3 linked regions of the Tribolium castaneum genome follow. The protein of the gene in region 1 binds, or shares a complex with, the protein of each later gene. Links are inferred from orthologs where the notes say so. Each region holds a gene or a part of one and is shown on either strand. Other genes may lie near its edges.

Region 1 (5,432 bases):
AAAAGACTGATTTAACCCCGATATCTATAAATCATCTAGTAATGATTGGTTTTGTCTCTTTTATAATTTTTTTTACATAACTAGAATTGCTACTTTTTTCTGTATCTCAAAAACTAATAATCTTACGTAGAAATATGCGTTTGCAAAAAATGCTTTATTATTTTCTTCATGTATATGAGTTTTTTTGGATTTTTTTTTACAATTCCATAACAATAAAATTATTATTACTAATGAATTAAAAATATTAATAGTATTATTAAAATTTAAAATATGAAATGGAAACATAAATTAACCAAACTGTCATTCTAAAACAAACGATGCCCAAATGATGATTTCCATTTAAATTACGCATTTAAAAACAAACGCTAAATTCTGGTTGATTATTATGAGTAATTTCTATTTGTTTTGCCGACTTGTTCGATCCCTTTCATCTTTTTCCTAGAATGTTTCGCTTAGAGTTTCGACATATTCCGAGAAAGTCTGAGGTATTTCAAAGAATTTAATAGCACAAAAATTCGAATTCAATGTTACATGATATTATTTGCTTCTTGCTGAGCTTTCTCAATCTATCATCAGAAATCTTCATGACAAAATAATTTTTTTACCAAAAATAAATTAAAATTTGACCTATTGTTTCCAAAGTGAAAAAAAAGATTTTGTTGATGCTTCACTAAATTCAGTTCATAGAATTAACACCATAATTGTTTGTATGAATAATACTAGGATACAGAAATATCGTGTTTTACATCTTCTAGTCTTTAGTTGCTTTTGCCCTCTCTTTCTCTTGTCCCGCACTTGACTGTGGGAGATTCTCGGCGGCAAATTTTGTCAAAATGAATATTCGCGATTCGTTCAAAACTACAACAAAATTTTTCGTTTTTTGGACGCATTCTGTTCGTACCATCACTGTGCATCTTTCCCGTACACATTTTTAAAAATATTATGAATATTTGTTTAAACTTTTAATAAAAAAATATCAAATAATTTTTTTTCAAAGTCTTACGTTGTCTCAAATTATAATTATTTAAAAGAGTCAATTCCATTTTTCGATTTAAAATTGGATTACAAATATCGCCAAAAGTAGAAAAATAAATTTCATTACTACTTGTCTTTGCCACACACTTGGTTTAACTCTGTCGTCCCCTTTAGCCTTATAGTGACCTATTATCCACTAGTGGAATAAACTAGGAATTATGACTACCAGACAAAGCCTGCCAAGATTAATTTTACGATTGTGGATAAAACATTGTATTGCATTCATGTTTTAGTCGCATTTTATCCACTTGAGAATATTAAACATTCTTGCGTGGATAAAATGCTTTCGAAAACACTTATACAATAAATAGCTATTAAAAAATCTGCGAAACCAAGGGCCGTATGAATACAATTGAGTAAATGCTTTTACTTCAAATTTTGCAAGTAAATGTTCTAAATTGTATGAGTAAAAATGTAAGTATAAGTTTTTACTAAAAGTAAAAGCACACTGGGCGAGTATTTGCTTGAACGTCGAGGTTTTACTCAAAACAAAATGAATAAAACAAAGTAAATGCTTTTTTCGTTGAGGATTTAGTTCAAAATTGTTGACGCTAATCAGTAGGAGCATCAATTTTTAAAAGTAACACCTCAAACTCGAAACAATGGTGGGTGTTGTGCAACTATGGGTAAGAAAAACTTATAAACAACCTCGCGAACACATAGGATAAGATTTTAAGACTTTATATCGGTTTGAACGAAAAAATCTTCGTGCTTTGGCTAGGTATTTTTTGAGTGAGAACAACGAAATGGGAGGAGATGGAAATCCATTTTAAAAATTACAACATTGAAAACTTCACTACAATGATTTATTTTGAGAGCAGATTCTCCAAAAAACTAAAGAAGTAAAAGCAAGAGCAAATGCTTTTCCTTTATACTCATACTTTAAGTAAATACTTCAACTTTATTCATACGACCCCATATCTACATCTTCAACTATTTAGGCCCCAAAAATGTTTAAAAATGCTCACACAGCGGTTTCGTTTCATTTTATGGTCAAGTATTGGAAAATTAATTTATACCTAAACCAATGAAGATGTGGCGGACTTTTTTGTAGGAAATTTAATTCTCTACATCTATGCTTCTTACACATCTTTAGTTGAATTCGCAGCGTTTTCATATATATAAATATGCGATTTTTTGACACTGTTTTCAATAAAGTGTTTCCACTATCTTAATCTCTGACTCTTTCTGTATTAAGTTTTTAATTTAAATTAAAAGTGCAAAAAAATATAAACATTTATTATCAATTTGCAATCCGCGTTATAATTTTTAAAACATAGCGAATACGTTTAAAGGTATAAAGAAGTGTGAAGAACAAAGTTGTAAAGAAAAATAGTCGCGGACTTTTTTGTAGAAAATTGATTTTTCTACTACTTTGTTCCTAACATTTTTCTTGTATCTTTAACCAAATTAACAGCGTTTTAAAAATATGGGTCACACTGCAAATTAATATGTTTGAAATTTTTGCATTATTTTTAGTTGTTACTCTTGAAAATTTAATGCTCTATGTGCCTGTATTTTTTTGAATTGTGTTAATAGTTATTTAAATAGTCAACTGGGCTTTTTGGCGACATTACCGAAAATATTGAAGTCGGAGACGTTTTATTTGTACGTCGTTCGTTTAGAAAATAACTAAAAGAATGATACCTTCAAAGCCTTTTCGCAGTGTGGTAACGACTCTTGCACGTCGTCTAACAACACACCGCCTAACCCTTTCAAATCTTGTTGTTTCAATAGTTTCAGTAAGCTTTTCCTGTCTTTAAGTTTATATGGAGCTTTGAATAAAAATTTTCCGTCAGGAGTGACCTCAATTTTAGGATTATCGACTAACGCTTCGGTTTGCAGCCACTTAAATCAACACCATTACATTTAAGTATTGTAATAATGACACAAAATTACTTGCTTGACTTTATTCCCTACGTCTAATTGATTAGTTTCGTCTAAAATTTCCTCTAATGTGAGTGGATATGTTTCACCTTCTTGGTGTCTCTTCCTCATATGTTTCACGATTTTAGCGAGAACACCGAATCGATATTGCGAACTTCCTGTTGCTGTTTTGTATCTAAAAAAAAATCACAAAGTAATTGATTCAAATTTGCAATGTTTTGCTGCTTACGTGTTGATATCAAGTTTAGGGGTGCTACTACTAGAAGACTTAAACCTTTTGCTATCATCGCGAGTTGGTTCTGGTCTTGAATCAGTCTTTTTTCTTTCTACACTGAAAGTAGAACAAAATTAACTGAATAAGTTGACAAAATGCGAATGCTACTTACGTAGGAGTTGTAAGTGCACGTTTTTTGAATAATTCTCTTTCTTTTAGTAAGGCGGGGTCCATTTTATTGGAGAAATAATAAATAAATAATACGAACTATGTTGTTTGAGGAATAATCATCTGTTTTCTTTTGCATTTGACATTCACGGCTGTCAAAGTGACAAGTGGTGGGGGACCGATGCCTTGCGCTGTCTGTCTTTTGTGGCCGACTGTTCCTTGAACCGAATTTTATATATTTTTTTGCAATATTATTATTTAATTAATTACTAATTATAGAAATATGTAGTAATAATCGTTGTTAATTAACTCTAGTTTTTAATCGGATGTGATGCCAACTACTAGCTTGCTGTGTGGAGGTTTTTTGGTTTTTGTTTTACAATGCAAGCTGTCTCAAAATTTGCGAATTTCGAGTTCAGAGCATTGTAAAGATAGTAAAGAATCGCTTCAGTAGTCCAAATGTAGAAACCAAATGAAGATTCGGGGCTTCCCCATTACTTTGGTTTGAAGATCACTTTCTCTTTGCACTGCGTTTTCTTCAAATACGGACTAAAAGTTTAAGTGTTTATTCTTATTTATGGTGAAGATGATTGTTGAGAATAATAATGTAAAACGATTGTCGATTTCTTAAAAAATAGCTTTATTTTGGTGTAAAAAAATTAAGTTTTTGTAATTTGTTGTTACATTTTTAAGAAAAATTAAACAAGTTGAATGAATAAAATATTTTTTCTAAAAAAATTACACAATTTTTTAATTAGTTTTAAATTATTATTTTCTACAATCATCTAAGAACACCATAAATAACAATAAACACTAAAATTTTTAGCCCGCGTTTGAAGAAAACGCAATTCAAAGTAAATCTTCATTTTGTGTCTTCTCATACATTTAAGCTACGGAACTCTACAACGCTCTGAACTCGGAATAATTCGCCAATTTTGAGACAATTTTGTCCCAGCTAAGACTACCTGGGGCAGTGCGTAATTTGGGGGTGGCAATTGCCATCCAAAATTGTTCAGCTCAACATTATTTGTAATATGGAAGAATGAAAAAACAAAATTATCCAAGAAAGAGCCGACATTTTTGTTGAAGGGCTATGAAAAGTATGTTCCCTCTACTTTTTGACCTTTATATGTTTATTTTTTGCGATTCCAATAAACACAACATCTTGTGAGAGGTCTTTTTCTCGCTTGCGGCGGTTGAAAACGAACACTAGGAAGATTGGCCAAGAAAGGTTGTCTTCATTATCTCTTTTGGCTATCGAAAGAAGTGTTAATGTTGACATTTTCAAGGTAATTGATATCTTTGATACGAACCTTCACTTCACTTTGCTTAAAAAATAACTTATAATAATAACTAAAATTTGAATAAACCTTTGTTTTTTTTTATGTTTGTTTCATTTACATGAAAAAGATCACGAATTAAAAATTGGTCTACAGTAGGCCCATTTAAGAGTATCTCTTAAGTTGCGTCTAACTACCTAACATTACACATTACCTAATTAACAGTGAATCTTTAAAAAACAAAAAGATTCATAGGTACATAGCTACAGGTATTTCAGCAGTTTTAATTTCCGTTAATTTTTCTGCGATACGCGAAGAAGGTACATTTTTATATTTCATTTAGTATTTTCTTCAAATTTCAAAAGATATTTTTTTAAAACAACTCGTTAAATGTTGAGTTAAATTATGAACGTCTTTTGAGCCAATTTCTTAATCTTCTAGGTTGCTTTTTAATCCAGAAATTTTCATTTCCATTTTTGAATTTTACCGATACAATAAGCAAAAAATAGTTGCCGAGATAGGCCAGAACGATGTATTTCATTTAGGTTTTTTATTTACTTGTCTGTTTATTAAATATTTAGCGTTTTACCTCCTGAGTCAGATATTATATTCTTTGTTGGAAAAAAAACACAAAAAATCGCGCCGAATTTAGTCTAAATATACAGATAAAATTCAGATAGAATAAAAAGCCTGACGATCTGGCGATGCAACCCAAAAAACAGATTTCATTTCCGTCTTGATCTAATTTTAATTACAGATTGCATTTGCAATCCAAGTTATCTAATGTTGCTCTGTCAGTGCTTGACAAGCTTTGACATCGGTCGGTGCTGGACATTATTGTCACATTG
Region 2 (4,253 bases), on another chromosome or scaffold:
CGAACTGCTCCTCTTGGTCGCCGATGCGTTTCGATTCGGCGTCCTTGTACGAGCGGTAAAACACAGATCTAAAGCACAAAATAACAAATTATTTTATTTCTACTATATTACTTTTTTTTAATACTCACCGGAAAAATCCCCTTTCGACGGCCGACGCGTTCAAAATAACCGAATCCTCCTGGTTATAACCGGTGTAACACGCAATGGCCACGATGCTGTTAATCCCAGCCGGTAATTCCCTGAATCTGAGATATTCCATTGATCTGGTTGTAACCAACGGTTTGTGGGGGTAATACAGGACGTGGGCAAGGGTGTCCATGCGGACATGGAAGTTGGTGATGTACACACCCATGGCTTGCTTGCCCATAGCACTCTGAGGAAAAAATTAATTACTAAAAAAATTCAAACAACACCAAAACAAATACTTGATATGTGTTTCTGGGACTCTGGTTGTGATCCGGGAAGGGTATAATACTGGCACAAACACCCAAAATCATAGCTGGATGGATCTCACAATGTGTGTAAGTGGTACAATACGCGTATTCCTTCTCCTGTCTCAAATCGTCCGGAGACATCGCAATCATCACAGTCTCCTCTTCCAAAGTATCGATATATTCGACAACCCCTGAAGCCACCAAAACCTGCCACCCGTAGTTATTATATTCCCTCTCTTTCAACATATCAATGTGGCGCTTCTTCAACAATAAAGTCCCATTTTCCACGATTAGTAACGGCCGACAAATCCGTCCAGCATCCGTGTAAATGCGAATCTCCCGGTCCCGAATATCCCGAATCATGGAAACCTCCGACACAATAATATCCATCTGTCTCCTCAACTTGCGTAACGTCGCCATCAACTGTTCGGGGTCCCTGTGAATTCCCACCCAGCAACCATTAACAAAAATCTTGGTCGCGTTGGCTATGGCAGACGGCGCAATCTCCTCCAAATTCTCCATCGACCACTCCTCCAAAAACTCCAAAATTGGAGAGGGTTGCGACCCCACCGAAATATACGCCATGAGGGCCAGATTTTTCACCAGACCAACAGCCGCCCCTTCTGGTGTCTCCGCCGGACAAATCATCCCCCAGAGCGTGTTGTGCAACTGTCGGGGCTTCGCCAACTTCCCGTCACGTCCAATGGGCGAATTAACACGTCTCAAGTGCGACAAAGTCGAGGCAAAAGTCAAACGGTTCAACACCTGCGAGACACCGGCTCTGGCCTGGTGGGCCTTCTTCTGGTCCCCCCAGTTACCAGTCGCCAGAGAATACCTCAACCCGTCCGTAATCAACTTAGTCTTAATGGCCAAGTCGAGGTTAAAGTCTTTGCCCCGATCAATAAATTTCTGGGCATACATCCGTACTTCCTTCATCAAGTTTTTAAACAACCCACGGAACAAAAACGCAAGCAGGGGCCCCGCCAAGTCCAGTCGTTTGTTACCGTAGTGATCCCGATCGTCCAGCTCGCGGCGCCCCAAAGCCGCCAGGAGCAACCGGTGCACCATGTACCCCAAAAAGTAGGCTTTTTTCGTCTCGCAAAAATCGGACACTCCAACGTGGGGCAGCATCTCCTTCTGGAGGATCTCTCGCGCGTATTTGATACGCTTTTCTTTGGTGACGCCCGGCCGGGCCCCCCTGGTCCCAATGAAGTTGAGTGCGATGTTCTGTTCCTGGATCACGAACGCTTCGTCCAGGGACGGTTTCACCATTTCCATCATCTCGGGGTCTTCGAAGTCGTAAATAATGTGCTCGAGGATGTCCCGATCGGCCACGAACCCCAAGGCCCGGAACACGATCATGATGGGGATCTCCTGCTTGATGTAGGGCAAGATCGCGATGATTCGTTGCCCGATGGCGGCCTTTTTGATCGCCTGGCCCCCACGTGCCATCATGTTGACCCAGAGGGTGGACGTGGGGCGCGAGCTGTGCTCGAGACAGGAGCGGATTTCGGATTTGAAGGCGTATTTCCCGTCTTTCATCGAGAAGACGTAGACGGTGTTCGTGGCCATTTTCTCCTGGGCGATTAGGACTTTCTCTGAGCCGTTGATGATGAAGTAGCCGCCGGGGTCAAGGGGGCACTCGTTGAGTTCGGTCAAGTCGCGGTCGGTTAGACCGTTGAGGAGACAGTACGTGGATCGGAGCATAATCGGGATTTTCCCGATGAAGGTTTTCTGGTGCTGGGTCTCAATGGGGTCCTCGCCGTCCTTGACTATGGTCTTGGTGATATCGACGTACAAGGGGGCCGAGTAGGTCAGGTTGCGCAAGCGGGCCTCGTTGGGCATCATGGGCGAGGGGGCGCCGTCTTTCTCCCAATGGGTCGGTTTGGATAGGTAGATCTGCTCGAATTTCAGTAAATACCGAGAGGGGTTTTCAAGCTCGCCGCTTGTGTGCTGTGCCTCGGCTTGGAGGTCGATTTGGGGCGAGTCTTCGACGATTCGTTGCACCGACATTTGGATAAACTCGTCGAAACTGTCCAGTTGTTGCCGGACGAGGCCTTTTTCGTCGAAATAGGCGTTGATGACGATCCAGCAGGCCTCTTGCCACAACTCGGAGCTGATTTCTTCAGACTCTTCATCGTCGAATTGGTCTGAAAAGCCGGTTTTTGTTACAAATGGCTCGGGGGCTACTCAAGGGGGATTGCGTACCTTCGTCTTGTTCATACATTGCTGATTATTTGCAAAAAATGGGGCACAAATGAGACGCACAAAACACAAGTTTTGAGCGTCTGTCAAGTGTCAGTTGACTTTGTATGGGGACCCCAAGAAAACCCTTATTTTGTGAAATAAATTAATATTTTATGTTCGGGGGGTAGCCCCAAACACAATACTTTGGAAAACAAATAAAAAACTTGTTAAATACGGCCCAATTTTTTATTTTCCTGCAATGACCTTGAAGTGTTACGTAACCATACAACAAAAAAGTCTCCAGATTTTCAAGATACGATGTTAAATTACACTATTCGACCAAAAAAATATTTAATAATTATCTGTAATGTGACTTAAAGGTCAGGTAAGTGGTAACAAGTCCAATTTTTTAATTATATTGCGTTTTTGATTTTTTGTGGATTGCACCACGTGACTTCATTATTGGCGCTAAATTTCAAACTCCATGGTAATATATTACTTTTTTATTAGGAACAGTCATATCATTACAATAAATAGCTTAAAACTATCACTACAATCAGACTGTGAGCAAATTTGGCTGGGTTGCTTCCTGAGCGTGCAAAGAAAAATCCGGTCCGTTTTTTACCTGCAAAATACACTCATTTTTTGTCGCCTAATCCATAAACTTACTCTTCTCGTTGGGGTCTTGTACTCCACACTGCTTGTACGCAATTTTCACCTTACGTTTCGTATTAATAAACCCTGGAATGTACAATGTGGGGGTGTCTAAACGCCCACTTGCCAGCAATCGGCTGAAATCCTGCTCTAATCGGTTAGCTAGCGGTCCTTTAAAATGCAGCAAAAGCTGGACGCAAGCGTCGCTGTGCAAAGACTTGGTTTTGCGCGAATCTACGGTCAAAAACCAGTCGGGGATTCCCAGAATTTCGCGCACTTCTTCGATAAACTGCGACAGGACAAAACGTGGGGGCTTTTCGATGTTTGCGTACTTGATTATGTCATAGTCGGGCTCGATATTGGCACAGGCGTAACGTTCGGGACGTCTGTTGGGGCTCATGATGACGATGGAGCGCCCGATTGCCGTGACGTCGCCTTCGAGCGGGAAATTCGCATCGGTGAAGACTTTGCGCTGGAGCCCGATGTCGATGGTCCCCAAACGGGCCGACAGGTCCCCCACGTGGCACCTGAGCGGGTTCTCAGGCCCGCACTCTTGCCGATAAAGATCACCCTGAAACCAGAACATTATATTATAAAATTAAAAAAAAAGCAAAATATACATTGAGGGGGTCGGCCAGTTGGGTGAAATAGGGGTTCCAGATGTAGCCCCCGGCCACACACCGCGTGTTCTGGGTCTTGACGGCCGCGTCCACGCCCACTGGGTTCACGTAAATGGCCCAGTCATGGTCCCTGGTCTGTTCAAAATAGTACCATTAAAAATAAACCACTGGAGACACGTACCACATTCCGGTCGTTTTTCCCAGGATGCCGCAGTTTGACTTCGATCGTGGTGTCACTCTTGCTACCGTCATTGTAAATTAGTTGTTTCTGCAATTGCAAAAATTAGGATTTTTTTGGGTTGAGGAAAAGTGGTACCATTTTTAAATATCCATAAGCGTACCCATCTGGGTGGTGGAA
Region 3 (3,410 bases), on another chromosome or scaffold:
ACTCGATTTATTTTCCATTCGTAGAGCCTTATTGGCAATAAAAATATTTTCAAAAATTCATTTCGTTTTGTGTAACTCAAGTCGTATCAGATTTATTGAACGCCTGTATTTGCCACAAGCTTGGCAACCTTAAAGCTCTCAGCTTCGCTTCGAGCTTCAATATTACATAATTATTACCTCTCTCCATCATCCTGATGGCTTCTGCTATATAGGGCACCAGAAGCCTGTTAACAATAAACCCGGGGGTGTCCTTGCAGGTGACGCAGGTCTTGCCCACGGCTTTGCCCCACGCCATAAAGGCCTCGTACGTCTCCTGCGACGTCTCCGGAGTCCTAACAACCTCCAAAAGCTTCATAACGGGCACGGGATTGAAAAAATGCAGCCCCCCGAACCTATCCTTCCTCTTCGTAACGGAGGCAATTTCGGTAATCGAGAGCGAGCTCGTATTTGACGCAAACATGGTTTTGGGGGGCGCGACCTCATCCAAATTTTTGAACAATTTGTGCTTAACATCCATGTTTTCAACAATCGCCTCCACGACCAAATCGCTGTCTTTCACAGCTTCGGCAATGTCGGTGCACCCCTTAATCCGGGCCTGCGATTCGCTCACGAATTTATTAGCGGCTTGCGGGTCATCCTTGTGGAGTTTTTTGGCGACTCGTACCAAGTTTTTCGCAATGCTGTCTTCGGCTTTTTTGATCAAGTCGGGGTTGACTTCCACGATGGTCACGTTGTGGCCGGTTTGCGCGGCCACCTAAGCAAGGGGGCGAATGTTAGGTTAGGTTCGGGTGGTTTGGGGTACACTTACTTGGGCGATGCCTGAGCCCATGAGGCCGCCCCCGATCACAGTTACGTTTTTTATAACTGCGTTCATGGGGCTTGAAGTTGAAAGGCTTCGCTTGATGAACAGGTTTAGGGCCATTTTTTCGCGTTCGGTTACGAGTAAAAAGTGGTGTGTAATGCGGATTTTGTTTGGTTTATTAACGATACAATAACTAGGTGAAAGTCCAAGTTTGTAACCTATGATCGACTCCCACCGCTACGTTTGTGTACTTTTTAATCATTTTATCGTTTATGGCGAGATTAGGGCTCAGAAGTGAAAATCATCGTGCCGATGGTTTAAAAATAATCCGCTTTCGATAACGAGTGCGACTTTTGTACCTGAATTTATTTAGGTATTATGTAATAAAAGTGCAACATCATTCAGTCAAGTGGTACACAGGAGGGTTCCAAAATGGGGCTATATAGCAATCCCTGTTATCAATTTATCCACTTTTTTCAAAGAAATACTTGAAAAAAAATATAATTTTGGGGAAATTTGTGATTATGCAATCAGCAATACACGTGTGAGAGGTTAGTTGCATTCTATAAGTTGTCAAATGTCATAAAAACACCAACTTTTGTAAGAAAAATAATTTATTTCTGATTTAAAAAAGTACACAATTCTCGATTATCAACAATGGTTAATGTAATGAAAGGCGTTTTGGTGACCTGGTAAGGCCCTAACAATTTTTTTGAGTTTTTGTTTGACATAACCTCAATCATGCCAGATAATCCAAATCTCCGGGAATCCCAAACTGCTTATTTAAAACCTTATCTTCCATCATAAACTTCCTTTTGCACCATGATTTGACCGCGAAGATATTATCAGTCCATCGATTTGCTGCTTCTTTTACCGGTTTTATCTCACTTTGCATTAATTTCAAATTTTGAGTATCTGTGTGAGATTTCGACAGAGATTCGAATTTTTCTTTCTGTTTTTCCAGTTTTTCAATTTCCTTCAAAATCTGGCTGTCGTCCCAATTCTCTTTCCCCACCTGCGCTTTTTCCATAGTTTCGTCAATTAATTTCAATTTTTTTGTTGACGATTCTAATTTCGTTTGAAGCTCGTTAAGTTTGCGTTTTTTCGCGTTAAGTAATTTGCTGTAATTAGGATAAAACGTGTTTTTGGCCCGTCTATACCGTTTTTCGGACACTCTCCCAGTTATCTCAGTGATCTCCGTTATTATAAGAGATACGAGGTCGGTTAAATTAGGGCAAAGTTGCGCATTTTTATGCTGAACAATTATTTGAAAAAAAAAATTGTAATTTTCGTTTTTATTTTTTCAAGTGAAAACCAAAAGAACTAGACGTAGGACTTTTTCGGGCACTTTTTACAAGGAATCTAAATTTGTCATCGGATTTTCCTAGGCTTGCTTGATGTCAGAGTTACAACACTTAACTTCGTTTTTTTTATGGGAAAAAAATAAAAACGAAAATCATTTTTTTAAATTTCTCTCAATAATTCAAAAACTAAAAATGGCACATAAAATTTTCTTTCAGAAATTGTTTTGCATACAAATGCACAACTTCTCAAAAAAACGGACACCCTGTATAATATTTACCTGGGAAAAGCCCAAAAGTAGACGGAACTCCCGATCTTATCCTTATCAACAGAACCATCATCCACCAAAGCTTGGACCACTTCTTTCACAGAATTCGCCGTAATTCCTTTCTCCTTTGGCGCAATTATTTCCAATTCATTCATTTGATAAAAATCCCCAGTCTCGTGAAACAATTGCAACATCCTAGCCTTTTTCTCCTCAAAACTTAGACCTTTTTTCTTGAACATTTTCCCCTAAAAAATGCGTTGTTTCAGTGACCAGGCCATGAAACAATTCCTTTTGTATTTAGATGAGACTACAAAACTAGGCCGAAAATTCATAATTCAGGACTTGGATGAAAACCACTTATTTATTTCAGCCGATATTTTAGAGACATTACAGGCAAAAATCGACGATCTGATGGACCAAATTAGCTTCCCAGTCGCCGAAAAAAGCAATTAATTTTTTGTAATTTGCAAAAGTGAGGTTATGTCATATTGATGTGTGGTCATTCGAATTATAAATAAAAAGCGCAGCATTTATATAATGACGTGTTTTGCTATAAATAATATCGTTGCGGGCCGGTTTTCGTCCATACTTACGCAATAAGGCACTAATTAACTGTTTTTTCAAATTGTCGGTACAAATAATACAGTTCCCTGTAAATTGGAAGTGGCTACAATTACGCTTCTTTGATAACCGACTATTCTACAGTTGTTACGCCATCACGAACATTTTTACACACAAATGATAAGAATAGAATTAAGCAATAGATAACGGAAACGTGTCACTAATTATAATTTTTCCCTGATTTAATAGCCGCCGTGACGTAACCACAGCCACATGTCAAACGTCACAATTGACTTCTTTGGTTATGTTCCGTTTGTCAAAGTTATAAAACGAAAAAACGCGTTTCTCGGCCACAAATCATCAAGTGTGTTAAGTTCCGTGTCAGTGCATTTACCCCCATCATGACGGTGCCCACCCCCAGCGAGAAACTCCTCACCAATGGCTCCACCACTCCCAAGCGCCAAAACGGCCAAAAAT

What was found.
Region 2: TfIIEbeta (region 1) and Polr2B share a complex: the UniProt entries of both Homo sapiens proteins name them as parts of the TBP-based Pol II pre-initiation complex. The link is inferred for Tribolium castaneum from reciprocal best matches to the Homo sapiens genes GTF2E2 and POLR2B.
Region 3: TfIIEbeta (region 1) and Tfb5 share a complex: the UniProt entries of both Homo sapiens proteins name them as parts of the TBP-based Pol II pre-initiation complex. The link is inferred for Tribolium castaneum from reciprocal best matches to the Homo sapiens genes GTF2E2 and GTF2H5.

Annotation. Positions count from the first base shown.
Region 1 is NC_087396.1:10,270,979-10,276,410, forward strand, and holds the start of TfIIEbeta (general transcription factor IIE subunit 2), read right to left. Parts: upstream 3,486-5,432; 5' UTR 3,371-3,485; coding exon 3,309-3,370; intron 3,254-3,308; coding exon 3,152-3,253; intron 3,098-3,151; coding exon 2,935-3,097; intron 2,884-2,934; coding exon 2,683-2,883; intron 1-2,682. UniProt on the Homo sapiens protein: Recruits TFIIH to the initiation complex and stimulates the RNA polymerase II C-terminal domain kinase and DNA-dependent ATPase activities of TFIIH. Both TFIIH and TFIIE are required for promoter clearance by RNA polymerase.
Region 2 is NC_087395.1:24,234,855-24,239,107, forward strand, and holds the start of Polr2B (DNA-directed RNA polymerase II subunit RPB2), read right to left. Parts: upstream 2,801-4,253; 5' UTR 2,662-2,800; coding exon 2,643-2,661; intron 2,585-2,642; coding exon 426-2,584; intron 374-425; coding exon 129-373; intron 69-128; coding exon 1-68. Other genes in the region: uncharacterized protein Rsod, read right to left, coding at 3,146-3,246, 3,291-3,846, 3,896-4,030, 4,077-4,163, 4,212-4,253. UniProt on the Homo sapiens protein: Catalytic core component of RNA polymerase II (Pol II), a DNA-dependent RNA polymerase which synthesizes mRNA precursors and many functional non-coding RNAs using the four ribonucleoside triphosphates as substrates.
Region 3 is NC_087399.1:6,497,872-6,501,281, reverse strand, and holds Tfb5 (general transcription factor IIH subunit 5), read left to right. Parts: upstream 1-1,352; 5' UTR 1,353-1,459; coding exon 1,460-1,494; exon of another isoform or gene 1,495-1,541; coding exon of another isoform or gene 1,542-1,923; intron 1,924-2,384; coding exon of another isoform or gene 2,385-2,611; exon of another isoform or gene 2,612-2,617; intron 2,618-2,638; coding exon 2,639-2,825; 3' UTR 2,826-2,910; downstream 2,911-3,410. Other genes in the region: hydroxyacyl-coenzyme A dehydrogenase, mitochondrial, read right to left, coding at 178-754, 809-922; meiotic nuclear division protein 1 homolog, read right to left, coding at 1,542-1,923, 2,385-2,611; heix (ubiA prenyltransferase domain-containing protein 1 homolog), read left to right, coding at 3,335-3,410. UniProt on the Homo sapiens protein: Component of the general transcription and DNA repair factor IIH (TFIIH) core complex, which is involved in general and transcription-coupled nucleotide excision repair (NER) of damaged DNA and, when complexed to CAK, in RNA transcription by RNA polymerase II.